Linked DNA regions of Daphnia pulex. The main gene of each other region encodes a partner of the protein of the gene in region 2 in a complex. Links are inferred from orthologs where the notes say so. Each region holds a gene or a part of one and is shown on either strand. Other genes may lie near its edges. The genes, in order: nucleoporin SEH1-like and GATOR complex protein NPRL2-like.

The links.
Region 1: GATOR complex protein NPRL2-like (region 2) and nucleoporin SEH1-like share a complex: the UniProt entries of both Drosophila melanogaster proteins name them as parts of the GATOR complex. The link is inferred for Daphnia pulex from reciprocal best matches to the Drosophila melanogaster genes Nprl2 and Nup44A.

Annotation. Positions count from the first base shown.
Region 1 is NC_060020.1:7,742,239-7,758,411, reverse strand, and holds nucleoporin SEH1-like, read right to left. Parts: upstream 7,548-16,173; 5' UTR 7,373-7,547; coding exon 7,262-7,372; intron 7,199-7,261; coding exon 7,042-7,198; intron 6,984-7,041; coding exon 6,832-6,983; intron 6,757-6,831; coding exon 6,410-6,756; intron 6,348-6,409; coding exon 6,187-6,347; intron 6,114-6,186; coding exon 5,950-6,113; 3' UTR 5,806-5,949; downstream 1-5,805. Other genes in the region: zinc finger CCCH domain-containing protein 14-like, read left to right, coding at 368-475, 548-1,063, 1,126-1,400, 1,468-2,003, 2,076-2,178, 2,241-2,493, 2,651-2,755; meckelin-like, read left to right, coding at 7,661-7,973, 8,053-8,318, 8,374-8,565, 8,627-8,911, 8,972-9,093, 9,156-9,315, 9,388-9,449, 9,525-9,747 and 7 more. UniProt on the Drosophila melanogaster protein: Probable component of the nuclear pore complex (NPC). Involved in maintaining the localization of another nucleoporin Mgtor to the nuclear envelope of early meiotic female germline cells.
Region 2 is NC_060028.1:1,949,851-1,966,233, forward strand, and holds GATOR complex protein NPRL2-like, read right to left. Parts: upstream 9,862-16,383; 5' UTR 9,596-9,861; exon of another isoform or gene 9,518-9,595; 5' UTR 9,475-9,517; coding exon 9,412-9,474; intron 9,340-9,411; coding exon 9,222-9,339; intron 9,152-9,221; coding exon 8,903-9,151; intron 8,832-8,902; coding exon 8,695-8,831; intron 8,637-8,694; coding exon 8,539-8,636; intron 8,473-8,538; coding exon 8,342-8,472; intron 8,258-8,341; coding exon 8,215-8,257; intron 8,150-8,214; coding exon 8,023-8,149; intron 7,897-8,022; coding exon 7,717-7,896; 3' UTR 7,643-7,716; downstream 1-7,642. Other genes in the region: pituitary homeobox 2-like, read right to left, coding at 206-504, 566-1,412. UniProt on the Drosophila melanogaster protein: An essential component of the GATOR subcomplex GATOR1 which functions as an inhibitor of the amino acid-sensing branch of the TORC1 signaling pathway.

The DNA.
Region 1 (16,173 bases), on a different chromosome or scaffold from region 2:
ATACATTATGTAATTATGTGGTTTATCCCCTGATTAACGATAATGAACTAACAAATAAGACTTTGCAGAGCTATGATTGTGCTATGCTCTGCATTGTGCTATGCTCATATGCACTATGCAGACGCCGACGCGGCAGGCGGCAGCACGCAGTGCGCTTTTCACGAGAAAGAAGCCTAGGAAGAAGAGGCTTTCATCCCGTATTTCAGCATTTCCAGTCCCGTGTCATCGGCTGCAAGCGAACAACAAAAAATAAAACGGGACTATATAAATTTCAACTAGAGAAATCTTTAAAAATTGACTAACTCAGAAGAAGACTTTGTATTAGAATTTGGTGATTTTGTTTAAGGAGAAGATTATTTTTATAAAAATGGAAGGAATTACAAATGAAATTCGAAACAAAATCAAATGTGCTGTGAAAGCAAAACTTCAAGAGATTGGGGCTTATGTTGATGAAGAATTACCTGACTACATAATGGTACAGTACCAAATATAAATGTGAATTATTTTCATACTACATAATTATTTTATTAAATTTTGTAATTAATAGGTGATGATCGCAAACAGGAGATCTAAGAGCCAAATGACAAGTGAATTGTCTCTTTTTCTTGGAAGCCACACAGACAAATTTACAGATTGGCTACATATTGTACTTGAAAAGCTTGAGGCTTTTGTTGGTGGTAGTAATGCTACTGACAAAGTGAAAGAAGTAACTTCTGTAGTACCAAAAGCAGGAGTTGAAGTATGTTCCCTTCCGATTAAAGTTGAAAATCCCTTTCCCATAGTCAAACAATCACCTTCCCGGCTGTTAAAATCAAATCAGATGGAGGCTCATAATAATGCTACATCAAGCCATAATATTCCATCAAATCTTGAATCTAAGGAACCATACGTCCCAATGCCTGTTTCTTTACACTCACTACCTTCAGTACAAGTACATCGTTCTCCTGAAGGAGATATGGATGATGATTGCCTCAACATCAGGGAGGAAATCGAACAAGATTTTCATGGTTCTGAAGATAAACTGTTGAAAAAGAGGAATTCAGCATCATCCGCCAACTATCAAGTAAGAATAATTATTCTGAATGTGAGCGTTTCATTTCTAAATTATTCATCGTTTTCTACTAGTCATCACTTTCTGATCCGAAAAAACGGCGACAAACCAGAAGCTCCGAAGATCGATTTGCTAAAAAAGTTCGCAGAGAAGAAAGGAGTCGCCCACGAAGAACAGACGGCCGCATCTCATCTCAAGTTGTTTCCGTGGTGCGACCTATGCTCAGTCAAATAATCAAACCTGTTGAACGTACAAAACTGAAGGTTGAAAAACACGAACAAGAAGAAGAAGACGAAGAAAGTTTTAATAACAAAACCGGAATCAACAGCATTGTTCGTGTCACAGCCAGGCAATTTTTTTTAATTCTGAAAATAGATGAGTCCATTAGTTCATAATCTGTATCTGTCCGTTTTCAGACGCAAATTACCAGCAAAAATGCAAGCCACAAATTGTTTGATTCTGAAAGCTGTTGCTGAGGCACAGAAGTCTGTCATCTCCCATCCACCTAAAGTTACGGAACCTGAGACCAAGTCTCTACCAGCGCTTTTCACTCGAAAATATCGTGAAAAGAACCTAAACCCCCAAACACTTGCTGTCAATACCACAAACTCTACTGTTTGCCAGGTTTCCGATGATTCCGCTATGGAAGTTGATAGCCAACCGTCTGCCGCAATTGTTGAAGATACTGACCTTGCCATAATGGAACCTCAAGAGACAGTTCTCACCAAAGTAGAAGTGCCTGACGAAAGTTCATATGAGCAAATGGAAAGCCCCGTTGATTCACCACTCGACATCCAGACAATCGAGACACGTTTCATTGTCACCCTTGACGGTGTAAACTCTTTAATGAGCCGATGCTTTGACGAAGACTTGAATGACGATGATGCAACCGAAATGAAAGATGCCGAGCGGAAGCCAGTTAAAACCCGGCTTTTTCGAAGACGTAGCACCGGTAACAATTTTTGCTATTTCACTTTATGTCTCTTTCACGTGTTAATAACAAATTTTGATTTTATACATCTAGGCACTGAGGCTGAAGTTCAACAAACGTTGGAACGTTGCAAATTTTATCCAAACTGCCGTCAAGGAGACCGTTGCCATTTCCACCACCCCAAAACCCCGTGCAAGTAAGGTTCATTGTCTTGAATTTTCAACATTTCGTTTTCCTTACATATATTCTTCGTCGCAGAAATTTTCCGATTTGTCTATTTGGCGAAAATTGTTTATTTATTCACCCGCCATGCAAATTTGACACTACTTGCACTCGGAAATCGTGCCCTTATACGCACAGTCAACGATCTCAAGTTGTCGTTTCTGTTGCACCAAAGATAATACAACCTTCAGCAAAAATGCATCAGCAGCAACCGGTTGTGAATGGCAAAACGGTTTGCAAGTTTTTCCCATCCTGTAACAATGTAAGCTGTCTTTTCTTCCATCCTCCGGTAAGTTAACTGAGCAAGCACAATTTTTATTTTGTTTTACTGTATATCAAAATGTTTGTATTCCCGAATAGTGATACATAATTTATACTTTGCATGATTAGTAAATAATTGTTACAATTTCTTAAAATGATGAACGAATTGAAATTTCTTATTCTAGGCGTGCAAGTATGGATCAAACTGCACTCGTGTTGGCTGTACATTTTTTCATCAAACAAACATCCCGTCCGCAAACAAACTCAAATGGGTCACAAATGCTAAGTGAGAAATTGCGTTGCTGGTGTTGTTTGCATGTTAATCGCCGACCGTGGATTCGAAACGTAGCCACCTTCACTCCAATACACGAAACTTAAAGACGTACGTGTGTTTTTATTGAACTTCCCTTTCACGACGCTCGCGAGCCCTTCTGTTCTGAAACCAAATCTTTACCTAGAGATAAAAAAAAAAGAGGGTGAAACAAATAAATAGGTTGTTCACAGTCAATCGGATTCGAAACTGATAACATTAACAGTCTACAAAGTTCGTTGAAAGAACCAGAAAACTTGTAATGTGAGAGGAATTCGATAGGACCCGTTTCGGTTGAAACTCGATACCGACTGTCGGCACGCGTACGGATATTCTATCATGATACAGTATGTTACTCTCTCAATTAGTATTAGGTCACGTCGATGGGGGCTAAAGCTGCACAATACCTACAACAAACATGATGGTTTTCTTATTGGTTAGCGTGTTAGCACACGGTTGCCTGCATTTGAATGGATTGCGCTCTTTCAATAGATTACCGACAAAAGAGCAGCGCCCAACACAAACATTCTTTCTGCTTGGATTCATTTTACCGCTAACAAAAAACTTTTCCGCTCTCGTTTCTCGAAAGGTAAATCACCCCCCACATTTTTCAATTTAAACTAAATTTTGTAGTGAAAAGCAACAGATACACACATACTGTAACGGATCATCAGATGGTCTGACTGCATTTCAACATAAAATTTCGTACGTTGGATAATAATTAAAAAATCTTAAATTAATCAGCAGCAGTTTTAGACATGAAAGTAGAATTAGATTTAGCATAATATTTATGGATAGTTGAAAATAATACATACTCTTTTGGGGGACATGTTGAGTGCCGCGGCCAACTCGTTGACGTCGTTGCTACCAAGATAAGGAGACTGCAGAAACTTTCTCTCCAATGCCCCCACCTCTGTTGTAGAGAAGGGTATGCGCGGATTACGGTAACGGTTCCTTAAGTTCATTTCTCTTTTAGCACCTTTAGAAATATTACATTAGTTAACAAAATGTCTCTATCTCTATTAACAGTGTTACAAATGACTCACGTGGAAGCTTCGGAGGTCGGTAGCGTGTACAATAGACCCAGGAAAAGTTGGGATCGCTGTGATCGCTGATGGACCTCGACTTGGATTCGGAGGTGAAGATTTCCGATGAAGTGACAACAATCGCTGATGGTGTAGATGTTCGAGACGATAGGATTGCTTCAATGCTGAAATCAACTTTCGGTTTCGGCCTAACGGTAATTAACTCGATTGGTTTGTCTACAGCAGCCATGAAAACTCCTTCTTGCGGCAGTCTGTTTCTAACAATGTTTTTATTAATCGTGGACTCCTCTGTTGTGGAACCTTCTTGATTAATTTCCTGCTCTTTGTTGATCATTTCGGAATCCATCTTCTAGGTTCGAAATAATGCACACGTCTAAATAGATTTGCTTGAGTAAGAGCTCCGACAACTCAACATCACTGGGCGACAATCTTGCTAACTAATGAAACCGATGGCTGACCCGCGAACGGCTTTGGTTTTCCTTAGTCGACAAGATAGATGTATCAAAGGGAGGAGCTTGCAACTAGCACCCTCAATAACCAGTGTTACTGGAAGACTAGGCTATCATATCACATTGGTTTCGGGGGATGTAAAGCGAGAAGAATGGTATGGCTTTTTCATGCTGTGATCATTGAGGTGAATAGCATCGAAATAGACAGCGGAGGTAATTGGTAGGCCACCTATACATCTGCCCGATGGCTATGAGCTAACAAGTACAGATGCAGCCGCCACGGTTGATGGACAGTGATTTCACATGCCGCACCCGCACACCCTATATTGTGTTATAGCTATGCCGAACTAAGCAACAGAGTATTATTTCCCCGCAAAATTGAAAATTTTTGCACTTGTGTTCTGAAAGATTCATAAAAGAAGCAAACGAACAAAGTTTTTTAAATATAAGGGGTAATGCTATAAACGGAAAACTTGGCAAAGTTCTGTTATTTCCATGAATTTGTATGAGTTAGTCCCAATTTAGTTTGTAGTCATCGACTTGAATATCATCACTTTATCTGCGGGTAACTACGGGTAAGACTAAAGACGAACAAGATATAGCTGTAGCCGTATTCACTCGTCAATTATATAGATTTATCATTGTTGTTATTTAATATAGGATGTTTTCGTCTGATTTTAACCAATTTTAACAAGGTAAAAAGGGCATGAAGTATGAGATCCGAGAAATTGAGAGTTTGTCAGATAATATTAAGAAAACTGATCGCTTTGTTTTTAATTAACACTTAGGTACCAAAGATGCATTTTACTATTTTCGGTCATCGTGCTGATTACACACAGTTTTATATCTACCCATGCAAACTGTGATGCAACTCGACGAGGCAGTCCACTAATTAAGCCATCTAGATAATTACAACACTTAAACAGCGTATTTCTATTTGTATTAACCTGCTAACTTCAAATCTAAAAAAAAAAACTGTAAAGAGAATGAAGTTCACTTGCTAGAATTATACAAATTTACCGGAAGGAACTGATAGCTCAATTTCCCATGTTTAAAAATGATTTTTTTAAAACTAAAATCGTAAATTTTTGTGATGGCTATCACTAGTTTAGGGAAAATCACGAATAGGATGATTTTCCTATATTTCCTACAGACACATGCAATCGACCCAAAATTTGACGAAGATCACAAATCCTTAGTTCTTTTCTTATTTGCGTCAAAATAATACTTACTGATAATATTTACGGAACTACTGACTTTTAAACTGGAGGTAGACAAAAACAAACGTTTGCAAAAATCTAACAGGTGAGTTTTGTAATATTCAGTTTTTGTCAAAAATCACAAAAATGACCTTACAGTTTATTGTTGTAAATGTCCTTAGAGATGTGTAAATGTATGCAGTAATGCAGCTGAAAATGATCAAATCATTTGAATCATTTCCCTCCTAACAAAAAAACAAATAGCTACTCTACTAGAGAAAAGTGTTTTTATAACAACTTGACCCTAAACGAATGTGACATGAAAAAATGACATAGTTTAAAACTCCATATCATTTCATTTATTTCTTCAGAACAACTTTCCATTTTCGAGACCATGGGTTTCTCCAGAAATGAAAACTCCCAGTTATTTGTGTGGATTGGAAGAGACATATTATTATCATAAAAATTGGGAAGTAAATGTTAGTGCCAGGGTACTTGATTTGGATTGCTGATTGCGCCAAGTTTAAAGTAACGAGCAGTTGCTGCAGAAACGGTTTTATCACGATCAGTTCCGTCTTCTGGACTTACACCCGATCCATCACCTTTCAACACGGCAATGCATTTCCAATTCTGCAAATAGTTGGCTGTGGAAATAGACAGTAAAAACAGCTGATTTAATAGGCCAGACATGGCATTAAATATTTCTTGATTTCTTGCCTTTCCACATTCTTAAACAGCCGTCATCTCCTGAAGAAGCTAGAATAGTTCCAGTAATGTTCCAAGAGATTCTCCAAACAGTAGAATGATGGTCATCAAATTGGGCTGCCTGCAGTATCTCCAACTGGGAAGTTGGACAAGCTGCTGCATAAGCATCTTTCCTTTAATAAAAAAAATTATAAATTTATTCTTATTCCATCCTTAAAATATTTTAACTACTTACTGAGGTGGTTTAAGAATAACTATTCTAACATCTTTGCTTGCAATTCCTAGAATGTGGTAACTTCTTCCCAAGTTAGGTGCAAATGCTATGTCATGCACTGGGTCGACTATTGTGTTGATAGTTTCAGCTTTAGACCAGCGATGGGAGCTTTCACTGTACTCAAACAGAAACACTTTTCCACCAGAGGCGACATTCGTGTCATCACTACCAACTGCCAACATTGGAGGATGGAGACGAGAAAATGACGGATTCCATGATAGACAAGACACAGGCATTTTCAGTGTTATTTCTTGCTGCAAACTCCATTGACTTAGGTTCATAATGTCTGGGGCTTCATATATTCTAACCTATTATGTTATAAAATTGACATTTTCATCTGGTTTATATATTTAACAATGTAATAAATATATCTTAGAACTTACTCCTCCATCAGCTGAACACATAGCTAACAATAGTCCCATGTGTTTTGGAGCAAATTTGATGTCAGTCACATTGGTTCTTGAATCTACCAAACTTGTCCTTTTCACCCAATGACTTTGGTTTTTACTCTGCGTTGAATTCCCTGATTCACCAACTGGATATGCATTTAGTAACTAATTTAAGTTGTTAAAATTGTAAAGAATTTTACAAACCAATTTCTTCCCAAATTGCAGCTGTTCTGTCAAATGAGCAAGTGGCTAAAATTTGACCAAATTCAGGATGAGCCCAATTTACTTTCCAAACAGAACCAGCATGAGTCTTCCAATCAGCAGTCAATCTCCATTCATCATTTTCATCCAGGTCAAAAACCTTGAAAGATAATTCCGCAATTTAGTTAACACAAGAAATTTTTTTCGATTTCTAACAATTTACTTTAACACTCTGGTCGGAGGAACAAGTAGCCAATCGACGCCCATAAAAATCATAAGCTACATCATGAATCAGGTCTTTGTGTTCAGCATTTATCGTTCTTGCTTGAAACATGTTTACAGAACTTTTTAAATCACTTCTTAATCACGAGAAACAAGTTTTTGCTTGCAAATTTCACAGAATTAAGAAAGCAAGAACGCAAGCAGCCGACAGCTCGACTGATCAAACTTCAAATGTATGGCACTATGGCAGTATGGGACAGTTGTGGGCGTTGCCAGATTGATTCATGAAAGAAACGATGTTTTTTCTGATATTGTTGGTTGGCTGACTTGGCTCATTGCTGGGGAGTGGTTGCTAGGTAACAAATATGCTTTACAAAACAAACAAAAATTTAAAGTGACGATGATCGTGTTAGTTGCTCATTACCTGCTTTTTTTCATCTTAAAGAAGGTGGAGGCTTACGATGTCATATTGTCTTCGTTTCCTGAAAGCTGCAATCGTTCCTCCTACTTTGATTCGATATCACATAAGTGCAAAGGTTGCGGGGTCTTTCAAATATCTTCCGATGACCGTTTGAGTTGTGAGTGTGGCTTTGGCTACTACCCTGAATTTAATGAAAAGTCCAAAGCAATTGAATGCTTACGCTGTAACCAATCAATTCAGTCAGAAATGTGTCTAAAAAGCAATCTCACGTGTGAACCGTACGACATCAAAGGTATGAAAAACGCACATTTACCTAGGTCCTATCTGCTAAGTATAGTAAAGAAGAATTAATTTCTGAATTTTTATCACAGTCCTTCAAATTACTGGAAATATTACCTCCGCACGATGTCTGAAATGCCCGCTTTGGCATCAGCCTGATGACACAAAATCTTCGTGCGTTCCTTGTTCGAACATGTGTCATTGTCCTAGTGAATACGAAGATGTGAACGGAACTTGCGTCAAAGATTTATTCACGATTCCCGAAACACCCACTATCTTTACATATAACTTACACGGGAGACCTTACATTTCTAATTATTTGCGGAATTGGGTTAGATTGACGGCAATTAAATGCAAGGTAGGAATTATTTACCATGTTTGTGCTATTAAACACCAATTTTTTTTCTTTAAAGGCACACGGTGGAGGAAAATACTGCGAACATCTGATCAATCTCTGTGTCTTAACGGATTACAACTACGATTCTCAGTCAGCTTGCTCTCTTTATCGACAATTATCTGGAGGCTTTAGCAATTCAATATACTACGACGATAGTCAAAACGAATATCTACTAAACTCCGCCAGGATAAACATACTGAAAGATCAAGTAGCATCTATAACTTTTACGGACTAAACAGGAAAAGTTTTTCATTAATGACTTTTTTTAGAAAATGGATTTTATGGTTAAACAATACGCATTAGATGGTACATATTTATTGATCCAGCCTCTTCAATCGGTTTTTAAATCATTGTGCTGCACTGGAACTTGGAAACCAATCCAACGAAATGCCAATATTTATCACAGCTGTTCGGTTTATTCGAAAGTTTTCAACATGGCTGATATGCGCTTTTATGAAATTTATTTCGTTGATCGGGCAATTAATCAATCAAGATTGATCAACGTTCCAATAAAAATATTGAACCTTGTTCGCGGAGGCGTTCAACGTAATAGGGTAAGTTTATACGCTCAGAAAATACAACATTACTACGGTACTAAAACCTGATGAACAAAGGAGGATAAAGATATTTCTCGATGGCAACTCACAAAGAGGTTCTTTAATTTTGACTCGGCAACTGGAAGTAATCAAGAAGGAAACACCGACTTCGTCCGATATCTATCTTCTCTTACTATTAGGTAAGTTTTTTCATTATAAAAAAAAAGCGAGAACAACTTTGAAACTTGAACGCATTTCTTAGAATTTCTGTTATGTCTGGTGAAAAATCACTAGCATTACGATTACCTTATGCAACAATCAACTACGAATCTATTGGTAGCCTTGAGAATGGAAATTCACCCGTTATTCATTTCGCTGTAAAAAATACCGTTAGTATGGATGAAGCTATGAAATCTCTTGAGGTAGAAATTATCACATTGTTCCTCGCATTCACAATCACGTTATCAATAATGAATTTTTTGGTTTATCAATAGATTGCACTGAGCGTGTTGAGCACTTTCGGGGCTCTTTATGCTTTGATAAGGATTGTCGTATGGTATGTACTGGCAACTTTGGATAATTTGATTAGCTAACTTTGATTGGGTTTTCACTAATAATAAATAATTTCCAGGTACATAAGATCAGATAAAGCAACAATTGATCTTCAGACTCTAATTCGCTTGTTGGTCTACGGAGCAGACATATTGGCCAACGTAATTTTAATAGTGATTTTCTTCATCACTTTTTACTGGTTTATGACCTTTCGACAACAAGAGGAAGTGACTGTTAGTCTTCCTGCAAGGCAAGAAGAACAGTTTATTAAAGACCTTGTCATTAGTGCTTTCACGTTAAAGGTCTGAAATAATTGGAACTATTCATAGTCAGGTCATTTTAATTGTATCCGATTGTATCTATGGATCCTTTGCAGACGATTAGTGTATTATGGATGATCGGAGAACAATGTAACGTCGATATTTTTCTTATTGACTGGGAGAGTCCGAGGCCGACGAAAGGCGAAATAGTTAGCGTATGGAGGATGTTCTTTGTTGCTAACGAATGGAACGAACTTCAAGTAGCGCGTAAAAGCTCTATATCCATACAGGTCATTCTAGTGTTATCGACACTCAAGGTATAATTAGTGAGCTGTGATTATAATGAAGCGTGAAAATAAACACCAGTCATTTGGTAGGTCTTCCAGTTTGAGCGATTTTCTTTAGAAATTCCAGCTACTTATTTCATGGCAGACACGTTTTTAAATTACAACACAGTGTTGCGCCTAGCGCTTGGTTTGTCCACCTATCTCTTCTTCAGCCTAGCGCAAAATATTTTGAATGCCGCGCTCTTCGAACGTTACGTTGAGCACAAAATCCAACGATTTACTGATGTCTGTACACTTTCAAACATATCAGTTTGGCTTCGAATTCACTCGCGCTACGGCTTCTACATTCACGGAAGGTTCCTTATCTTCTCAGTTAACTTTTTAAATCTTTCTTGGTATTAACAATTCAAATATTTTACTTTTGACGGGCATTTAGATCGCCGCATGGATTTGCAGACATCGACATGCAGACCATGTGTCAACAATTACAAAGGGAAGAAGAAAATCTGTGCGCTCAACGAGGTCTTGTTCAGGGTCAAGACACTCAAACGTTTTCCATTTTCTTCCACGAGACTCTTTCAGATAAATGGAGAAAACTTATAAAGAATCAGGTGACGTCTATTTACTTTTATTTACTTTCCGTTTCAATTGATCTGATAATGTTGGATCAGTCTAGCGGTACCAGCACTCTATTTTTCAAGCTGAATGAATTTTTTACATCTTTCCTGGATCATGTAGGTTTATCAACCTTTTACAATATTACTGAATTGTACAAATGAAGGCTTATTTTTAAACAGGCTTTCAGGGAACTCGACTACGAAGTGCGTGATAGACATTTCTTGGAAACCGTACTCGATATAGAAATGTGGTGGAATATGTCGCAAAATGAGCGATCTATATTCTATAACGGTACACCTCGATCAAACATACTTCGTCAATATGAGGTGCATTCTATAACATGTCCACCTTATTGTACTTGCAGATGGAAGAAATTGTTTCGATTCCGTTTTGTTCTACGGCAATGAAGTGACATTGGTGAGTTTTGAAATGCTGCTCTTTTCATTGGTAGATGTGTACTGCCATAGCTACCTCACTGCTGCTCTTACAGTTTTCATCGTTTTTAAAGTAAGTAAAAGTAATTGAGAACTACTTGGTGATTGAAAATAGATCAACTAACAATCCTTCAAATATTAGGCACTTCAATTTGTTCGATATCGATTTGGAAGACGTAACTTGGCAAAGAAAACCATGATTGATTCCCGATTTCTATTTTAGCTTGACTTCTTACGATGTTTTCTTCTAATTTCACTAGCATTCTATTTTTCTTCTATTTTAGCCTATTAAAAAACAGGAAAAAAACATAATTGTGATTTTCAACATTTCTCTGAAACAATTGATCGAAACAATTGACACGCAAAACCGTGATGTGAATTGCCTGTATAGACCTTATTAGTATCTAAAGAAATGGGTCTAGCCGACACCCTAGCGGCGCGTTGCTGTATGAAGGGGTGCCGTGAACAGCAGATTTTTATTTGGCTCGCCCGATGTGGTTTGCGCATAGGAAAAAGACAAAAATGATTTCGATTGGTCGAAGTGAATGCACTCCGCAACGTCCACATAATGGCAATTTAAATGTCCCGGCAGAAACACTTGATCAACAGCCGCCGCGATCTCAGTTACTCGATGATAGGATGTATCCTGGATGATTCCGGGAACTTGATCAACGGTCGCAAACTTGATCGACGATTTCTGCCGGGCATTGACACTCGCAGCAGATGGGAAACTATCCTCCCAAAATCACCCCTGGCGGCAAGTTCCACATTTGTTTTTTCTTTTTATGGATTTCTTTGCGCTCTCCTATCAATAATGTTTATCGTCATAACAATTTTCAGCGTCCGCCAGACCAGCGTGAATTAGTTATCATTGATTTAAAATGAAAAGTTAGCTCTTTCTCTTAACACAGGACCTCCCCTTAACCGAGCCTTGGGCAACTCCCTAGACGCATATCCCTTGGGGCCTCTCCCCCTTCTAGAACTTTTGTCCTATGTTAGAGGATAGGGCTATCTGATAAAATTAAATAAATCATAACTAATTCAGGCCAACGGGGAAATTTTTTATGACGTTAAACATTATCGATTTCTATATTCGGTAAAAATTTCAAATCTCTACAGCCAACGAGATTTTATCTGAATGCATTTAAAATTAAAAATTAGTATTAGGGTAACTGAATAAAACATAATTAAATTTTTGAATAAAGATTCGGAAAATCTGAATTATTTCCGATTTTTCCATGTATTTTGTTTTTTGATGCCGTAAGTAGAAATGGTCGAAAAACGAGCAAAACCACTATTTACGCATGCAAATTTAATGCAAAACCGGAAACTTTGATTCCAATTTCACAGCTTCCTGTTCGAATTAAAAATCTGAGATTTCATAGAGTGCATGATCGATGCATAAGAAACACACTGTAAAAAAATCATCAGTTTCTATTTTTTCCGCGACGAAAAAAATCGAGTTGGGATGGAATGACCCAATAGAGCAAACCAATGACGCATACCCCAGCCATGGAAACCTCGCGGCGGCCATATTAAGTTGACTTTTTGAGTAGCTCTTATGGGTTTTTTGAGGGTCTCTTCGAATATAGTGTGTAGTTTATTCCAAGTGTATCTTTGAACAAATCTATAGCAGTGATTAAATTGGTAAATGAATAGGGAATATTTTGATGTAATTTTTTTTGAATTCACGTTTTCTTGTGAAAAATGATTTAAACGCGTTGTTTACGTTTTTTTGAGGGAAGAAAGGGGAGAAGAGGGAGAATGGGACGAATGGGAGGGAGGAGGGCGTACGAAAAAAAGGGGACCCACGTTTCCTCTTCTCCCCCATTCGTCCCATTCTCCCTATTCTCCCCGTTCTCGCGCTAAAAAGGAACGGCGCCATGCTGCGTTGCCAGATAAAACGGCAAAATAAAACAGATCTGAAAGAGCCCTATATCAGAGCCATTACTTATGGTTGTCCAACTCATATGGCGGAAGATTTTCTCGGAGATGGCGTCTTCTTGATGGGTCCTCTACGGACATGCCTCCTTCAAACTCTATTCCACCCCCCTCGGACTTCTTCCAAGTCTGAGCGCACCTAGCGCTGATGCGGTGAACTTAATGAAAAACGACGAAAGATAAGCCGCTGTACAAAAATATTACAAACCCGTTGAATTAAATACAATAGAAAAGCAATAGCAAGTGGTGTAGTGAGTAGAGCACTGTAGTGCCACTCGATTGTCTCCCATTAAAAAAATATTGGTAAAAACCACCCAATAATGGATAGGACGAGTGGGTCACTCGTCCTAAAAAGAACCCATTTTGTGCTGCCTATGGCTGTTTACAACCCTGTTTTGCCCTTAGGGCCTAAAGGCGAAAGACAAAAAGCAAAAAAGGGTGATTTAGATGAAGCTCGTCTCAACTTTGAAGAGATTACGTGGGGATTTTCTAATTTTAAAAATAAAATAAAAAAGTGTGAGAATCAGCGTGAAAAACTGATTCAAATTGTATTGAATTCCATCTGCTCCCTCATTCCTGCAAATACCCTATAGATGTCTTTCACTGCTTTATCGGGTGAGTAGGGTTGGGACCAAAGCGGCTGTTGCGCTTTGGTACAACACCGCTAGGTGCCAACCGTGACGCACGGCAACGTCCTTGACGCGTGGCATACCCTTGATGAATGTCGTGTCTTCAATTGAAGTGGTGACGAATCAACCCACCCAACCCTCGTTACCAAAATTCAAGTTGGGTGGGTGAAGAGGGTGGCGCGGGGCATTGATAATAATCTGCAGGTTTAATTTTGCAACAATAAGTTCTCTTTTGACAGTTTCGAATATAAAACATCAATGAACTTACCACTTAATTCCAAACTGGTTATTTGTGTGATGAATTGGCAACGTCTGCCCCTGTGATGATCTGGCAAGGTTTACCCCATCTTCCTCTCTGGTACAACGATCAGTTGGTCTCTAGTTGTTGGACGGGAAAGTAAACACCGTAAAAAAAAGATAAACACACGCATTAATAAAGATAAACTTGGGAAAAGATAAACTTGGGAGCTTCGGGAAACCCATTTTTCCGTATAAAATAAGTTATAAGAGTAAAGTTTAAGTAGTTTTTAAGTAGTTCCGTTGAAGTCAGCTTTGCATAGCGGAAACAGCCATTTCCTTTGAACCACATTGCTTTGGGATTACCAAAGCAATGGCAGTGGATCCCGTTTTGAGGACTTACCCAGAAATATGGGAAATTCTTCTTTCTTTTAGTTCTTGTTCCTTTGAATCCTTCAAGTAGTTATAAGAAATCTTTTATGGTTCCCGATACTCAAGAATCCAGGAAGTGGATTGAGTCCGTTACGTGGATTTAGCGATTTTGCCTTTGAAGCCGAGTTGCAAAAATCTGTTCCATTAACAGCACACAGGATGTGGACTTCGTTGTTGAAAAACGAATAAATTTCTCCAACATCCTAAAATTATTACCAAAATATTTGTAAGAATTCAATTAATTTATGGAATATATAATATTACCAGGAACAGCGGTTGCATGAAAACATGAAAGCACGAGCAAAGCAACTGTGCTAGTGTTGGCAAAAACACTTTAGCGGATGGCATCAGTCATTCTTCGCATTTTCGCGTATTCCTTCTCTTTGGTCGATGCATACGAGTAACATGTGAATGAACCGAAAAAGGGCAGTGGATTTTGAGGACTTGCCCAGTAATATGGGAAAATTTCTTGACCTTGGAGTCCTTCTAGTATTTAAGAAATTGCTGATTGTTCCCAATACTCAATGTATCCGGGAAGAAGGCTGAGTCTTTGGGCAATTGCAGTTTTTTCAAGTTGATTTTGGGATCAATTTCAAACTGTTTGGCGTGCAATGGAGAATTTTCTTTGCAGCGCGGATAACAATTACATCCTCATCAATCAAGGCGGTAACGCAGCTGAGCGTTGGGTTTTCCATGATGACCACACAGCTCATTTCATTCGAGATGTGCGCGTCTTGCGAATACTATGGGGCGGGCTCTATGTTACACTCTCTTGATATATTTAAAACTATATTTAAAGAATTCTTATATGGAATCTTGGAACGTTTCCTATCCCTTCTAATGGGTAGCATTGTATAATCATGAAATGTACATTTTAATTGGGATTTAGGAACTAATTACTAAATCCATTACAACACGATAGGTAAAACATAGTTCATTAGTCGTACCTTTATAAAAATTAATTTGCTAGACATTTAGAGGTAATAATCAATGAAAGTTTAAAATTATACGATGAGATAGAAGCGCGACGCGTATTACTATGTATTGAAAGTCTATCTACCCATACCCCGCCGAAATATTCTTTTGTGATTTTATCATCCAGTTACATTTAAGTGGTATCGAACTACCGTTTGAACAATGTGGTTAATGAACTGTATTTACAAAAACTTTGGCCCTCTCATACTGTATTGTAATTTACCACAGATTATAATCAAGCGTATTTAACGGATTGATACGGAAGTCATAAGTAGCCATCGAGTGTTATATGTTGGTTATATTTATTTTCTGGAATTGATACCGGTATCGTTGAGAGGGTGTGTACAGATCTCCCACCCCTAAACTAAATTATGAAGTGCGTCAATATAGTAGTCTGGCCCAAACTTCATTTTGGGGAGACGGAGGCTTCTTAGTACACACTCAAGATAACATTAGAACCATAATAAAGCAATTATTAGAGAATCTTGAAATCTTTACCAATTCTTATTAACAGCAACATTGATTAAACATAATTCATAGTATAATTTAATGGTGATTTAGAAAACGATCGCTAAATCTAATACAACACGATAAATTGAATAAAGTTCATTAGTCGTAATTTTATAAAGATAAATTTGCTAGACATTGCAGCGGATTTTGACGGGAAGAGGATCGCAAATGGTAATGGTGTCCGGAAGTGGACATAAACTTTTGATCACGTTTTGAGGACTTACCAAGGGATATAGGAAATTTTCTTGTTCCTTGGAGTCCTTCTAGTATTTCAGAAAATGCTGATTGTTCCCAATGCTCAAAAGATATCTGGGAAGTGGATTGAGTCTTTGGGCGACTCTCATACGAGGCCGAGAGATGAGAAGATGAGAATATGAGCCCGGAGACCCCCCAAGTTTTCAAGGA
Region 2 (16,383 bases):
GCCAACACAGAAAAATTTCAAAGACCAAAGTTGCTGCCGTTCCATTTATCTTACAAATGTTATTTCTCTCTCCCCCCCCCATCCGTATGGGAAAAAAAATGAATAATTGTTTCATAGAGAAAAATAAAGGACCTTGTGGTGCCCTTGTGTGGGGGCACCGTCTAATAAGAAATGTTATAAAATAAAAATGTTGGAGGAAACGTACTTGAACTCTGGCTTCGCTGAGGCTGACCCGTTTGGCCAAATCTTCGCGGACGAAAGCGTCCGGGTAGTGGGTCCGCTCGAAGACCTTCTCCAACGCCGACAGCTGGGCGCTGGTGAACGTCGTCCGGTTGCGTCGAGGCTTCTTGCTACTCCCGCTGGACGACACGTTGGCCGTCGACGGGTGACGCTGATGGGAGTGGTGTGGGTGGTGGTGGTGGGACATGAAAGGCGACGAAGGCGAAGAAGATGAGGAACTGCTCCTCTTTTTGGCGCTTTTATCGCCGCCGGCTTCTGATTCGTCTGTAATTAAATTAAATTAATTTGATTAAGTTAATTGAGTTCATTATTTTTTAAAATTTACCGTCGCTCTTGTCGGTGGCGTGGGACGACGTCTCGGAATCGTCCCTGACGGACGGCAAAAGTCCGTGCGCCTGGAGCGGCGGCGACGGCTGGTGGTGGGCCGAGGCGACGGTCATTCCGACCGGGTGACTCAGCGGGTCGCAGCCGGTCGACGCGGAACTTCTCCCGATGGCCGACGGCGATTCCATCTGGTGATGATGCTGGATGAGTCGCGTCACCGAGAACCTTTTTAAGGTGTCGGCGGCCGCGGCGGCGGCCGCAGCCGCCGCCGCTGCAGCCGCTGCCGCCGCGCAATTGTCGTACGGCATCGTCACCGGCCATTGCTGATCTTGTTGTTGCTGTTGTTGCTGTTCCTGCTGGATTTGCTGCTGCTGCAGATGGGACGTCATCTGCTGTTGGTGCGATCCGCCCAGATACGGTAGAAAATAATCACTTTGTTGTTGTTGTTGTGGTTGTTGTTGGTGGTGGTGTTGTTGCTGAGTGTCCATCGCCGACGGCGTTAGTCTCTGATAATTCCCAGCCGAGTTGCTGTTGTTGAGATTGTTGTTGTTGTTGTTGTAGTAATTGGTAAACTTGTCACTGGCCATCGTCGTCACGTCCGTCGGCTGGTGATGGTAGGCCATCATCGACGGGCCGCCCACACCGCCGCCGGCCGAGAATCGTTCCAGGTAAGTGTTGACGGAAAGGAGATCGGGGCCGGCCGTTCCAGCAGCGCCTTGACCGGCACTCGCATTGAAAAAATTCCCGCCAGACGACGAGCCCTGACTTGCTGGGCCACTGCTGTGGTGGTGTAGGTGGTGATGCTGGGCCGTCGCCGCCTGGTTGATGCGCAATGTGTACGAAGCCATTTTCTCTCCAGCCAAAAGGACCCGACACTTCAAGTGTCTATCAAACTACTGAATGTCAGTGCAACAGAGTGGCCCGGCTATACAGCTGTACAGGCCAGCAGCCATATAGTCCGTCTTGACTTTTTGACTGTGAGAAGCTGAGAGCCCCATTTTAGGCTCCTCCTCTCCCTGGGGCTCTTTAACCAATAGGACAAACCCCACACGCCCAGTATCACCGAAAAATGTTCGCCACTCGCTCCTATCCAATTTTTTCGTCTGCTATTTAGTTTACACACGTCTTCATATTTAAAAGAGATAAAGACATTCGATGCCTGGAGGGCTCACCACGTAAGAAAGGGAAATGTTTGTTTCTTTGGCCCGGCAGCTATTATAAACCAGCGGCATTGATGAACGGCCCTCTGATTGCTTGTGACATAATGACGCGGCGGCGGGCAGACGTGATGGCTCTCTCCGGGTCCCGCCCCCTGCCCTCCCTCAGGCAGTTCTATACCTAATACTGCACCGGACCTGTATCTATCCCCCCCTGCAAAAGAATTCCACCCAAAATATAACATCATCATCATTTACACGTTAAAAGAGACCCTGCGGTGATGGGCGCCAAAATGAATTTGAATTTTAAATATTCAAAATTCTAAGTGAATTTTTTTAAATCTTTTGAATTTGACTCGAAGAGACAGTCGGAGACAGTTGAATCGATTCCCGATTGCGTGCAGTTAAACATTTTATTGGGAATGAATTTGAATTAATAATATTATTCATCGCCGTTTGTTCCGTGTATTATTTATTGGCAGACGTTTGCTGCGCTGATTCTTTTCCATCGTCGCAGAATAACTGCCGGCTCCTGATTGTGTTGCCTCGGGAAAACTATCCGCCCTTTGATGGCCGACTGTCAGGAGCTCCTCGAGGGTTAGACAGACGTCGGTGTTCCATCAAATGCGACGCGCCGTGACGGAACGCCGTCGAAATTCCCGACAGACTCTTCAACCGGCCTCCCACACAGACACAGACAACATAATAGACCGGGCCCCTTTTTGAATCGTCGTCCTTGCCCCCGCCTCTACCACCACCACCACTACACAACCGTTGACGCTTTTCGATGATTCAATAAAAATAGAAAACAATTTCAAAAAAAGTTCTTGGCTTCTCTACTCATTAGTCCAACTCAGTCACCATATCCATCTCGTCGGCCCGTCGTCGTCGTTGTGTATGTCCGTGCGCGCATTCCAAACGGTGGGCCAAAACGGATCATGTGAAGAAGATATCAACAGCTAACATTTATTATTAATCATCAAAGTCAATTATAAAAGAGAAAAAGTCGCGCGGGCTCTCATTAAAATTCAAAAGAAAAAGAGTTCATCAACTTATTATAACTTTTAGTTATTATCTATTATTATTATTCGAGTCATTTGGTTTATACATGTTTTATAAACAGAAAATTAGCGCAACTATACTTTACTACGTATTTACGTTATAGAGCCCGTTATTAATGAGGGGCCAAAGTGTTGAGCGTGATTCAATTGATTATAGGCGGCACGCGGACCTGTTTGTATTAGTCAATTATCTCCGAGTTATTTAAGAAATTTTAACTTTTTTTAAAAAGAAAAAAAAGAGAAAAAAATACGAGACTCAAAGTATTTAAACTCTGGGGGTATGTACTATGTAGAATAAGAGAGAGAGACCCCCGGTGTCGCCAGTACGACGCCAGTAAGTCCCCCGTGAAATGCGATCCGTGGCCGGCCATCAGCAGCACAGGCCGTTTTTCTTTGCGCCGCCGATGACTATAGTATATAGGCCTTTGGGTATATAGACTGTGTAACTGTACGACTCTAGCTGTTCAATTCTAGTCGATGAAGCATATCTAATAGACTGCAGTGTAAAGAGAAAAATAAAATCCCCAAGTTGATGGTGTCATCGAGTTTGGAAAAGAGAAACCGAAAGTCTATCGTAACACACACTATACTCGAACAGACATTGCGTCATACCTTTTGTTATACACCCAAAAGTCATAAAACTGTTGATCATTTTGGAGTCACAATCATCAGACATGGGCCTGTACGATAGGCTGTCGAAATGAATATTTCTTGTAGAGCCGATGATATCGGATCCCCTCCATTGAATAACAGGCCATCAATTTCAAACTCAACTGATTGTGTAAATGAACGTGGAGAGGGTTTTTCGAATAATATTATAATTTCTTCGGGATCGAATTGCGTCGATTCGACTCCGCAGTCTAAACTCTTATACAACACCACCGCAGTCTGTCTATCAATTCTAATGGCCTTCCGTAAAAGGTTATCAAGAGGTTATAGGGTTGTTTTGCGCGCTGCTAGCAACACGAATCCTCTCATCTACACAACTTGAATATAACGATCGATATTATTACCAAAAGTCTAAGCTACTACATCGTTAGCTGGGCCATAGAGAGATTAACAGTTCGTTCCAGACATTCTTCGGATAATTTTTCCACGGGCTCCGCAAAAGGTCATCTGGGTTGGTCCTGATGAGAGCGCGGTGACCTCTCAAAAGAAGAAGAAGATGAGCCATTCGGACACACGGCGTATCAGTGTCAACTGTCACAAACCCCCTCCATTGAGTTTGACTGGGCGTGTCGCACTCGTCTCCCTTTCACTCCGCTTAACTTCTCCTCTCTAGGCCTCTGACTGGATAGATGCGCATCGATCTGACGACTCGAGTGGATATATAACGTCATCCTCGTGCTATACAACCCTCCTTAGTACTTACTACTTCTACTACATGAGTTTAACTCGATCCTCATGAACAAACCTGCATAGTCAAGGTCTCAATATCGTTGGAAAAAAATAGGAGATGATGTTATTGTGTTTGTTTTTTGGAAGGGGGGGACCTACCATGGAGGTCAACAAGTAGAAACAGCTGATGATTGAGTTGTTATTCTCCTGGCGCCACAAAGTATATGTACGAAAAATTATTACAACTGTTAAAGTGTGTGTGTCTATAGGCCGAGTGTAAATAATTTAAATGGTCGGAAGTCAATACTATCTAAAGTGCGGAGTTGTCGAATAGTAAATCATCCGTCGTAACATCTTCTTCGACTTCCTCCCCTCTTGTTGGTTGCATGTTATTATGCGCACCACCCCACCCCACCCCGTTTTCTGTGAACTGGGACCGACGGGAATTTCTTTTTACTCCGCGACGGAAGAGAATAAAATTTGTGGGTCTCTCCTTGTCGCTTTCGATTCCGGTCATTCCGGCCCGTCGCCCGCTTTTTTATTTATTTCCCTCCCTCCGTCTGGACGATGGGGAAATTTGCTAATTCCCAACATCTTAGCGGCCTGTTACGTCGACGTTCATTCAAATGATGACGATTGATATTTGCATAATCATCGCCGACTGTCAACAACTCTTGATTTTGATTACATTTACTTCCTATAATGATGTTAGAGTGCGAGATCTGGTCTCTCATTCCGGTCCGTCTAAGATGACACTACGGCCGTTCAACTTATTTTCTGACCCTTTTTTTTTCTCAATTGGGTTGTTGACGTGTTTAATGGGCGGGGGTTGGTGCTGTTTTATCCATGGCATTATTCATATGGACGGATGATTGAATTAACTCATTACGGCCGACGCCATCCAGCGGGCACATCTACCGTGCCGAATCCGAGTGGTCGATGACTTTGCCTCGTCTGCTGTCTGCTCTGGGCATTTCATTGGCGATCAAGTGACGGGCATATCCAGCTAGGAGCCAGTTCAACGGCTCCTATTTCAGCAGATTCAACTCGACTGACTATAATGTACAGAAGAAGAAGGTGTTCAGCGAAAACAAATCGAGTTCAGCTTCTTCATTAAAGTGTGAATAACCTTTTTCAATTTTAAAAAAACATTATTGGGGCTAGACAACCAAACTCTTCCGGTTTTGGATATGTAATATACTCCGGCGCATTACAAATAAACAAATCAGTGTCCTATTACCGCAGGCCTATATAGGCCCCACCCCCCTCTTCCGCGTAGTACATGGACGACACGCGACTTAAATGAATGAAGTTAAGGGCGAGAAATTCATCCGTCAAAAAGTTGTTGGATGAATAGATTCTTCTTCCAGTTAAGCGCTGACAAAGAAGTTTTTGGGGTAGAGAAAAAACCCGATGGTGAGGAGGATGGCGCGACAGGTCATATCCGGGCGCGAAAAAGGAGACCTGTGTCTGCTGTGTGTTGATGGTGGTGGGTGCACGAACAAAGTAGAAGAGGATACGCAATCTGGTTGTGGTCTCCATTTTCCTTTTTTTCGTTGCCATTCGAATAAGACACACACAGAAAAAAATAACTCGACTCCATATGTGTTTGTGTGTGTCTCTGCTGCTGTGTGTAACCGTAGCTAACACAAACTGCGCGCTCAGGGGTTATGTCTACACGACGTTATAACGGCCGCGACTATGTGGAACCAGCAACACACACAAGTCTCGGGGCCACAAGAAAAAGAATGATGACCTGCAGCATGGGGTCTCCAGGCCGTTTGCTGCTGCTGACATCGGAGTTTTTCCTAGTACATAGGAAGAAGAAAACAATCAGCTAGGGAAGGAATACGAACGGGTTGCGCGCCTGCGTAATGAGACGAGAAAATAGTCTTGAAAGGAGGGGTGGGGGGTGGAAGGGTGGAATATGACAGGCACAATGTCGTCCATCAAACTTTTTTTCAAATTAGCACGTCCCTCGTTTTGGTAAAAAAGATTTGGTGGTTTTACTACCAGCAAAAACTATATCGCGTGTGCTTTTATCGGCCCCTATGAACTCCTGGGCGCCCTCAGACCGGATTTGCATATTTGTGGGCGGTTGGGTGGGAGTGCAACGATCGATTGATGAAAGTAATCCAAGTCTGTGGAAAAACGACACAGTCATCGGGCGACTAGAAGCTGAAAATGGCGGCGTATTATTAATGGACGTCGATTATTGATAGCCATCGCTAAAAACAGCCGAGTGTAATCGACCATTTCCTCACAGCAGCAGCGACAAATTCGATATCTACGCATATCACACATGTACAGTTTAAGATCTACGGCGTATAGGGTTGATCGCGTCTACTAAGGAAATCGATCGACATTTAATCGCTCCAATCGGCCGGCTCTCGGGTTCGCCCAGCAGGAAGTTGGGGTGTAATATTAAACTGGCGGAGCCTATAGTATTTTCTATATAATTATTATTCCAAATATCTGAATGCAGAATAATTAAACCAATTCAATTATGTGTACATAGTAAATAATTAAAAAGAGTTGAATCGCCAAACAAAAACATATTTACGCTTTGAGAAGTGTCCGTGTGTAGGAGAGTAGCAGCAGCAGCCCCCATTGAGATAGGCCCAAGTGGTGGGTGACCGTGTGCGTCGGTTTAACAACACTTGTCGACAAGCTTGTCGACTCCTTATCAGCATAAACTTCTTGGTTGGGGTTTTTCTAAAAAAAAAAAAGGAAACACAAAAAAATATGTTGTTAAACAGCAGCTAGCCTGGCGACGCTCTTATGTATCTTTTTGGGAGCTACTTTGAAAGAAACAGTAGCAAGAGAGGCTTTTATCTTTTCTTTTCGTGTTATTTGTAAAAAGAAAAAAAAAAAATTCTCTGGCCTCCCGTCGCCATGTTGATGCGTGTAAATCTTATTAGGGTTTTTTGTTTTTTTGGGTGGCGGCCAATGTGGCATAGCTACTACGCTGGTGGGAAGTTCAGTCCCATTTTTGTGTGGGGTGTGTGTGTGGGGGCTTCTATTTTCTTTATTGTTTGTTTTGTTTCTTTTTTCGTCTATTTTTCCCCCCGCCGTTTTAACAGCCGAAAAGATTGTCAACTAGCCGACAGATTTACTGGTGTACCTTCCAGCCCGCGCTCTCTATACGGCTGCTGGAAATATAACTCGCCCGCGTGAGTGCCCCCCACCTTGTCTAGCGCAAGGGGAAACGGTAAAAAAATAAATTCCACAGGCATTCTACTATATAACTCGCTCGACTTTCAAGACGGTGGGAAGCCAGCAATGACTCCTAACGAATCGCCAAACACGAAGGCGGGCGTTCCCGTTCATCTCTCGACACCGGGGCAGCACCACCATCCCAAGTGGCGTGATAACAACGGAGGATCGAGAGGACTTGGTGGGTTGTGTGTGTGTGCAATCAAGACGGATCCGATTGCAAACGATGGGGAAAGACGTGCAAGGTGATCCTCACCAACGACCGTTGAACTTGCTGCTCCTCCACAATCGAAAAGAAAAAAAAAGTGGCCATTATAAAATTTATTATTGAAACTTAAATCAAATGATACAAAAAGATATGGGGTCGGAGGGAACGGATTTCACTTCCACAGGACGCAGATGTCGACATCGGCTTCGATTTTGTCGTCCAGTTCGTGGTAGGACAGTCCGGTGCGGCAGCAGATCTCGTCGTAAGAGGCCACTCCAGTGCACAGCCGATGCAACGAGGTCATCTGTTTCTTGTGCGATCCGCGCTGCGTCTCCGGTTTGTACACCGGATACTAGCCCATTCAAACAGCGTGCAAATTGAGTTATCAGTTCAATGGGAAATGGGTTATTCGAGAACCGACGTCCAGGAAGAAATCGAAATAATCAATTGGATTAATCAACAGCGCACACTCGCTAACCTTGCAAATGCGGCGGATGATGCCCTGCAGGACGCCAAACTGGACTAGCCGATGTTCGTCGATGCGAAGCGCGTGCGGATTGAAGCGCAAGCACAGGTCTCTTATGGTAGTCCCGTACGTCATCCCACTGTCATCGATTACAAAATGAATTCATTTAGGGGGGATTTGATAAGAATTAGAGGATAAACTCACCAGTACATTTGGAAAACATCTCGGAAGGAAGGAGGATGTCTATCTGTAATATAAACGAGAGAAGAAATTCACAGTCAACTTGAAAAGTGGATAAGATGATAACAAGACACTTGGTATTCTTCTCTACCAGATTTGGCAACAAAAGCGATGCACTCTCGACTCAAATCTGAATTCATGGGCAGTTCTCGGAGTTTGGGTGTAGCGGCGTACATGTTGCTGTACTGGAAGATGGGAATGAGCTGGACGACGCCGTAATATCTAACCGAAAAGAGAAAATAAGGTCAAGAGAAGGACAGCACTTGACTACTATATCAATTGACTTACAAGAGATTTTGAATGCAGGCTTTGACCAAACCAATGTCCACGTCGGCCTCGATTGCCACTCTAGCGACATGGCTGCGTCCATCAATGTATGGCAGTACCTTACGCACGAAAAAGGGTTATTAAAATGAATAAAATAAGAGAATCATTTTCGTTTACCTGTTTGGTTGTTAGGTCCCAATAGTCTTGTTTTAAAGGAGAAAATTCTGACGTGAACACGGGAACGTGGTGGTCAAATACCAGGGGTGGCTCAGCAGCTACTTGGATCACTTTTAAGTGCAGTGTTGAGGTCCCAACTGATCAAATCAATTTGTAAATGTCGGAAACGGAAATGTTAGACAAAAAATGAGAATCTTCATGTACCTACCTGTAACTGTGCACAAGCCACCCCGATTGAGATCACTTAGAATTTGACCTAAAATTTTGGGCAACTTGGCCCTGTTGGATTCAGTGGATAAAAAATTCTGTTCAACTTCCAGGGTGACCAAATGCTCAGCTAATTTCCTAACTACAAGCTCATACTGCACTGTTCTGGCATCAGAGTCACACACAAAGCACAAGTTGAAAATGAGAAAGTTACGTGGGTATTTTTCATCTGAAATGCGCACTGGATATCCTGTAGGTTTTAGAAAAAAGGATGGTAATGAGTCAAAATACTTGGACTGTTAGAATTCTTGAATAAAAACCTGTTATCTTGTGCCCTAGTACATTCACTGTAATGATACAACTGTCCAGCTGCTCTTTAGGAATGATGTAAACACTAACTGCATCAAATATTTCTTTGGAAACATAATCCTCTGGCACCTTTTAATCGATATTAAGACAAAGCACTGAAACAACAAAATTACTTTATTTTACACACCACTACACCATTACCTGGTAACTGATTTTGGGCCCCAACGTAGGATGAAACTCGGAAAAAAATATTGCTTTGATCATTTTTCTATTTGATTTACTCGACTATATCACTTGGATAGTCAACCTATGAAAAAGGATTTCTTTAACATGAGTAATTCACATTAAAAATCAAAAAAATTAGTTAAAATGATAAGGAACACACAAAATCGCCCCTTTATTTGATTTAGGCTACCGTCTGAAGCGCCATGTGAGGTCTTGTTTACAGAAACGCCACCATTTCAAGCCATCACTTATTTACAGGGAAATTTTTCAAGTAACGAAGTTATAGTGATTTAGGTCCAAGGCACTTGAATTTGATTAGTTTGCAATATTCGCTGATTAATCGGACCTGGAAAAGTGTCTAAGAAATGACCATTTTCTGCCTCTCAGATTACACATAAACATAAACATCAACGTCAGCGCCGCGTAGCGACAATCTTATCGTCTTTCATCACAAACTGTTTGATTACGAGTTTACGACCGAAGTTGGGCTGGGGCGGGAGGGGCAGCACTAAAAATTTACGAAAACGAAAATTTGAATTTGAACTGTTTGATTACGACCGGAGATTGGGCTTGGCAGGGGCGGGACCAAGGGCCAAGTAGTCCAGTCATTTTAGCTGAAAAATATACGAGTATACCTAGAACAAATTTTAATTAGAAATTTTTCATGAACACTATTTCTAATTTTTTTTCTTTAATTACCAATGAAGGAGGACAAAAGCGACCATTTGGATCGTTTAAAAAAATGTAAATGAAAATTTGTAATTGGGAATTAGGGGTATAATTATAACGATTTATAAATGTTTAATACATGTAATCATAGTTTATCTATCAATAAACATGTGTTGCAAATTTGAATCAATTTGATTGACATTTACTATTTTTTCATGAATTTATTAGTTATACACATTGTTTTTTATTTAAGAAATTTTTTCGCCGTGTTTAACACGGCGCTTATGGCGGAATCCCAAAACTAAAAATTCATACTACATAAGAAAAAAAAACACCCGAAAATCCCCACTTAGTCTTATTTTGAAGCCCGTTTATCCTTCTTTACTTTTTTCAATTACATTTATCAAAAGTAACACAGCAAAAAAGTTATTGGAATAAGAAAAAAATACCCTTTTTCCAGTTTTACCAAATGATTTATAACACACCCACAAGGGGGACATTTTTTGTTGCCGCTGCAACTTTATCTCGACTAAAAAATGTCCCAGTGTCACTATCAGCTCTTGTTTGAGCTTCGTTTTTGTGGCCGAAGTGTCGATGAAGATGACAGCTTTCACTCCTCATGGCTATTGGCAGTCTCGTTGCAATTGCTACGATGCTTTGGTCAGTCATATGGGTCTGGTCTGGGCAATAACCACTTACACTATGGGCGTAATAGCTTCATCGATGATTCGGGAACTTTTTTTGGTTTAATTCAGAAACCAAAATAGTTGAAATGATTAATTACCAATTCAACTTTAATTGCTGTAGCGTCAGAAATTGGGTGGACAGCATCATTAGTTTCAGCAAAGTCCAACTAAAGACACATTCAATGTGAAAAATAAGTACAAATTATGAATACAGAAATACAACATACCTTATTGTCAAAAGTATCTGATGTTACCGGTACATCTTCAATTTCAGGTGCATCAACAGTCACGTAGACAGCATCACCATTTGCAGATCCTTGGTCCACCTAAATAAAATAGAAATAACAACATTATTATTAAAGGTTAGATTAGGTTTAATTCAGGAACCAAAATAGTTGAAATGATTAATTACCACTGCTGTAGCGTCAGAGGTTGGGTGGACAGCATCATTAGTTTCAGCAAAGTCCAACCCAGGTAGCACACAGACTCTGTTTCAGGTCTGTTTCAGATCTGTTTTTGAGAGTCTGTAAATTGTTTGGAGTGGCACACTTTTACAGACTGTCATACAGGTCTGTGACAGATCCGTAAAACGGGATCACGATTTACAGACCAAAAACAGATTTTCAAGAAAAAAAAAGATTTGCCTCCTTCTGGAATCGAACTATCAACCTCTGAGTTCACAAGCCAGTACGCTAACCACTACACCATAACTCGATATTATGTTCTAGATATATTTCATAATGATGTATATTTCACAGTTGTACACTTGTTCATTCAACAAACAGTCTGACATGTCTCTCTCACGAAACTGATTGCTACATATGACTACCACTGGTCTCTTCCGATAGTAACAAGACCAAGATTGGCCCCACACCAATTACAAGTCTTTATTATACCTATTTATGTATAATAATACTTCTCCGTCCGGTGGATAAACAACTATTGTTGTTGTTCGAGTAGGCCTACTGAACTAAACTCATAGCCATTAGCTGCATTGACTATTAGAGTGTAACTTCTTACTGCATGGTATTGCAGTGATATTACACATATAAGAAACGTTTAATTCAGTTTTCCATTGGGATCCAAACATGTACCATACTTGGGATACAGACACAGATACGATGATTACTGACTTATAGGTGTTACAAGGGAAATAAAGACCCGTACATACCTGGGGCACAAACACAGAACAGATAATCACTGAACTAAGTTTTACATAGAAAATACAGACCTGTACCATACCTGGGGTACAAACACAGAACAGATAATCATTGAACTCAGTTTTACATAGAAAATACAGACCTGTACCATACCTGGGGTACAGACTCTGAACAGATGATAACTGACTTATGTCTTACAAGGGAAATACAGACCCGTACCAGACCTGGAGTACAGACACAGAACAGAAACATATTGTACTCGAAAATACAGAGTAAAAACAGACAAGTGACAAACATGGGAAACAGAGCTAAATCAGAAACAATTTTCTCAAGTAAAAAACAGATCTGTAACAGGTCTGTAGTACAGTTAAAAACCAGATTTATGTATTACAGAAAGATAACAGATCTGTTCCAGATCTGTGAAACAAACTTTTACCAAATCCTGTAAAACAGAGCCATTCCAGACAAATTTCCTGTAAAACAGAGATGTAACAAGCCTGATACTGACCTGTTTCACAAGTATGTGAAACAGATCGGTTACATGAGTCTGTAACAGCTCTGTGTGCTACCTGGGAACTAGACACATTCAATGTGACAAATAAGTACAAATTATGAATACATATATAAATACAACATACAGTATTGTCAAAAGTAGCCAATGTTACCGGTAGCACATTCAATTTCAAGTGCATCAATATTCATGTGGACAGCATCACTCTTTGCATATCCTTGGTCACCCTAAAAAAATGTTCAATGTAGCAAGTAAGTTAAGTAAAACACATAAATAAAAATACAACAACAAAAGTTAGACAAGTGGCTGTTCGACCAATAACTCAAGGTTCTTGGTGAAGAATGTTGGATTTGGCCTAGTTTGTACTCATCCGTTGACTGCAAATATGCTCATAAGGCCATAAGGGGCAACTAATTCTCCTGTCACGTCTGCCAACAAAACCTGCCTGTAATTCTAGGTATAACATTTTTAATTTTTCCAAAAAGAATTTTATTTGCAGCAATGAAATTAGAACAAATGTTTTGGAACATAGGGTAAACAGTTTTGAAGGATAGTTAGGTGTCACTCAGTGACTTAGTCGGTATCTAGAATTAAGATCTATTGTCAGTAAAAAAAATTGTTTTTTTTGTGTGGAAAACCTACCCGAAGCACTGCAGTACTTTTGAAAATCCTTGACCAAGTTAAACTTTTTTTAAAATTCTTTGGACCACGCTTGGTCAAACGACGTTTCCTCATACGGCTGGGCCCTGCAACATCCGATTTCTCTAACTCTGTTTATTTATTAATTATAAAATATTATAATCATTCTATATTAATATCTATGCATTAACCGTTCTCACCCCCAGACTCCTTCTCTCCTTCAGCCTTGGCATTGTACTCCACTTCTTTAACGGCTTCTCCCATGTGAGGGTCTGCTTCACCAGATTCTGCTTCTCCAACCTCCTCATTCTTTCCTTCAGCATCACATTCAGCTCCTCCAACAATTCCACCATCAGGGTTGTCAAGAGCCTTGACATTTGCAACTTCAATGGCCTCATCTGCATCGGACAAAAGTGGATGTGGAGGGACTGAACTTATGAACTATTTAGTTTTTAAAAGGTTTTACCATTTTCTTCAGGATCTACGCCATCAGAACTTCCCTCCTCAACAACAATAGGCAAAACATCAAAGTCTGCGTCACAAGATACATATTCATAAGTCTCCATATCCAGCCCTGTAAAGAATGTCAGCCTTAGAAAGTAATTTATTTAATGTTTAAGTTGTATTACTTGGTTCCAAGCACATAGGGCATATATGCCCTATGTGGGGTCTATGCACATCGTAGAAGACCAAGCGTTGAATTGGTTGTTTTATTTTCATTTTGTCTATAATTTCTGAAGAAATGAAATCTTTTAGTACTACTATCACTTTTTTATGTAGTTAAAACTTACCACATATGCGATTGGCTTCCTTTATCTTTTCCTTTAGTCCTTCGTAGAATTTTTTTCCCGCTGGAATGCGTCGATCATGCTGGCTTGGGACATTTTCCAAAGGATTGTTTTCTCTATTAATCCCAAGTCCTTTAAAATATAGAATACAATTAATTTTTTGTCACATGTTATTTTTATATTGAAATTATTATTTATGTTGTAGAATAAAATACTTACAGTAAATGTTTCATTTAAAAATTGTGCTACTAGAACTACTAGAACTGCTAACTAGAACTGCTACCAGAAATGGACTGCTATAGCAGTCCATTTCTTGTTGAAAGCTTGACACCTGAAATAGGTATTTGCACAATTGTATTGTTTGGGTATTATTTTAAATTACTCGTAAATAAAAAAAAACTTACGTTGGGCAATTCCACAATTCTTCATCATCTTGATTCATTCTAGGTTTCTTGTTTTAAGGCAAATCAAATTATTTGAAAAGTAATACAACAACTTGGCTCGGGAGTTCTTTTTTTACCATTTTCCCCTTTTTCAGATTCTTCATTTCCTTTTTCTGCCTCACTTTTTTGCAGTCTCAGCCGGCTAAAGGTCTCGTCGTGTCTTCCTTTTCGGTCTGAATGCAACATGTTTATTTAATCGAAATAAAACATAAAAAGTTATTTATATTTTACAAGTGTTTGTATTTAGACAAACAAGAGACATGTAAAAAGTTACACAAGTGGCTGTTCGACCAATAACTCAAGGTTCTTGGTGGCTTCCGCGAGCTTTTGCACCGCCTGGTCTCCTTGCGGAAGAGTGTTTAGAGCTGGCTGTTTTAGCGCCTCCTCTTCGTGCTCTGCTTTAAGCAGCAGTTCTGGCTCGGACTCTTATTCTGAGTTAATCCAGAGGCTTGATCTTCGTTGGATCGGGCCGGGTAGCTTGGTCGTTGCTGCTGTGACTGTCTCAATTTAGCTACTTATGCTGAGGCCTGAGTCGTGGCCGGAACAGGGATTGGGGTTTCCTTGAGGAGCTCCAACAAAGTGAGGCAGATTTTAATTTTTGGATTGTTGGAAGCCGACACCGAAAAGGATATTTCAAACATATTAATTACTTGGGTAAAATTATTAATTTCCCTTAAATGTTTAAAACTTGCCTTGGACAATGCCATAATTTTTCGTAAGCATCTTGATTCATTTAGTAGTTTCTTGTTTTAAGACAAAACTATTTGAAAAGTAAAAACTTGGCTCAGGAGTTATTGTTACCAGGTCAAAATTCAGTTGGTTTCTGTCTTCGCGGTGGGCCTTGGCTTGGTTCTCGTCAAGTCTTACTTTTGCCTCCTCTATCGCGTCACACTTCCTCTTTTTGCCTCGCGAACCTCGATTCGTCGAGCGTTCGCTGCTTCTTTATCCTCTCATTCTTTCCTTCAGCATCGCATTCAGCTCCTCCAACAATTCCACCATCAGGGTTGTCAAGAGCCTTGACAATTGCAACTTCAATGGCCTCATCTGCATCGGACAAAAGTGGATGTGGAGATGGAATTTTGTTTCCCTACAGTTATAGTTACCAGTATTGCATTTCGATGCCAAGTCTTCTGACATTGATTTGATGTTCATGTTCATGTTCATCTTCTTCCTGCCTATTTTTTTCCAGCCATCTCTCCTTTCTAGCATTCCTCTTCTGCTGTTTGTTGTTTAGTTTCACCTCCATTCACTGACCTTCCTCATCTCCTTGGCCATTTTGGATTCTGCTGAGCCCCAATATCTTCATCTGCTTTTTCAATTTCATATCCTGATCAGTTACTTCAAATAATCTGTTACTATTAGTTACCTTGCTCATCCTTATCGCTTTCTTTATCCACACAATACTCCCCCTCTTCTAAACCATGGGAGTCTTTCTCATCATCAGAATTATTGGAATAATTCCTGTTAACCACTGGTTGTATTTCTTCAGCTAAAGAAGTGTTAAAAAGTAAAGTTAGCACCAATTTTGTGGTAACATTGTCATTCTTTTACCACAGTTTTCTGCGCACACTTCACTGATAGGGTCGAGGCTGTAGTTGAAGCATCTTGATACGTTATAAAACATAAAGGAGGTACTGTCAATTTTTAAAAGTTTTCGTGGGAATTGTAAGTTCAATACTACCTCAAAGGTAGTATAACTAGTCGGCGTCTGAAAGAAAATGACAATTAATTAGTAAGAAAATCGTAATTTGAATATTTCACAATATTACTGGTGAATTTGCAACATTTCCGTTATACTTTAAGGAAACAAATGCAGACTGCAATGCAATAGAGGAAAAATTTCCGTTTGCGACATTCGTCGATAGACGGCAATGCACTTGCTGCTTTCAAATTTGCAGCTTGGAAAATTGGAATTACCTATAAATTGGAGTAACATTTAAATTATTTATTGAGTTAATTGAGATGTTTCATTTGAAAAAAAACTTACTGCTGCAGGAGTATTTTGATAGGGCATTGTTACACACACATAAACCTTGCCAGGACATTTCTTGG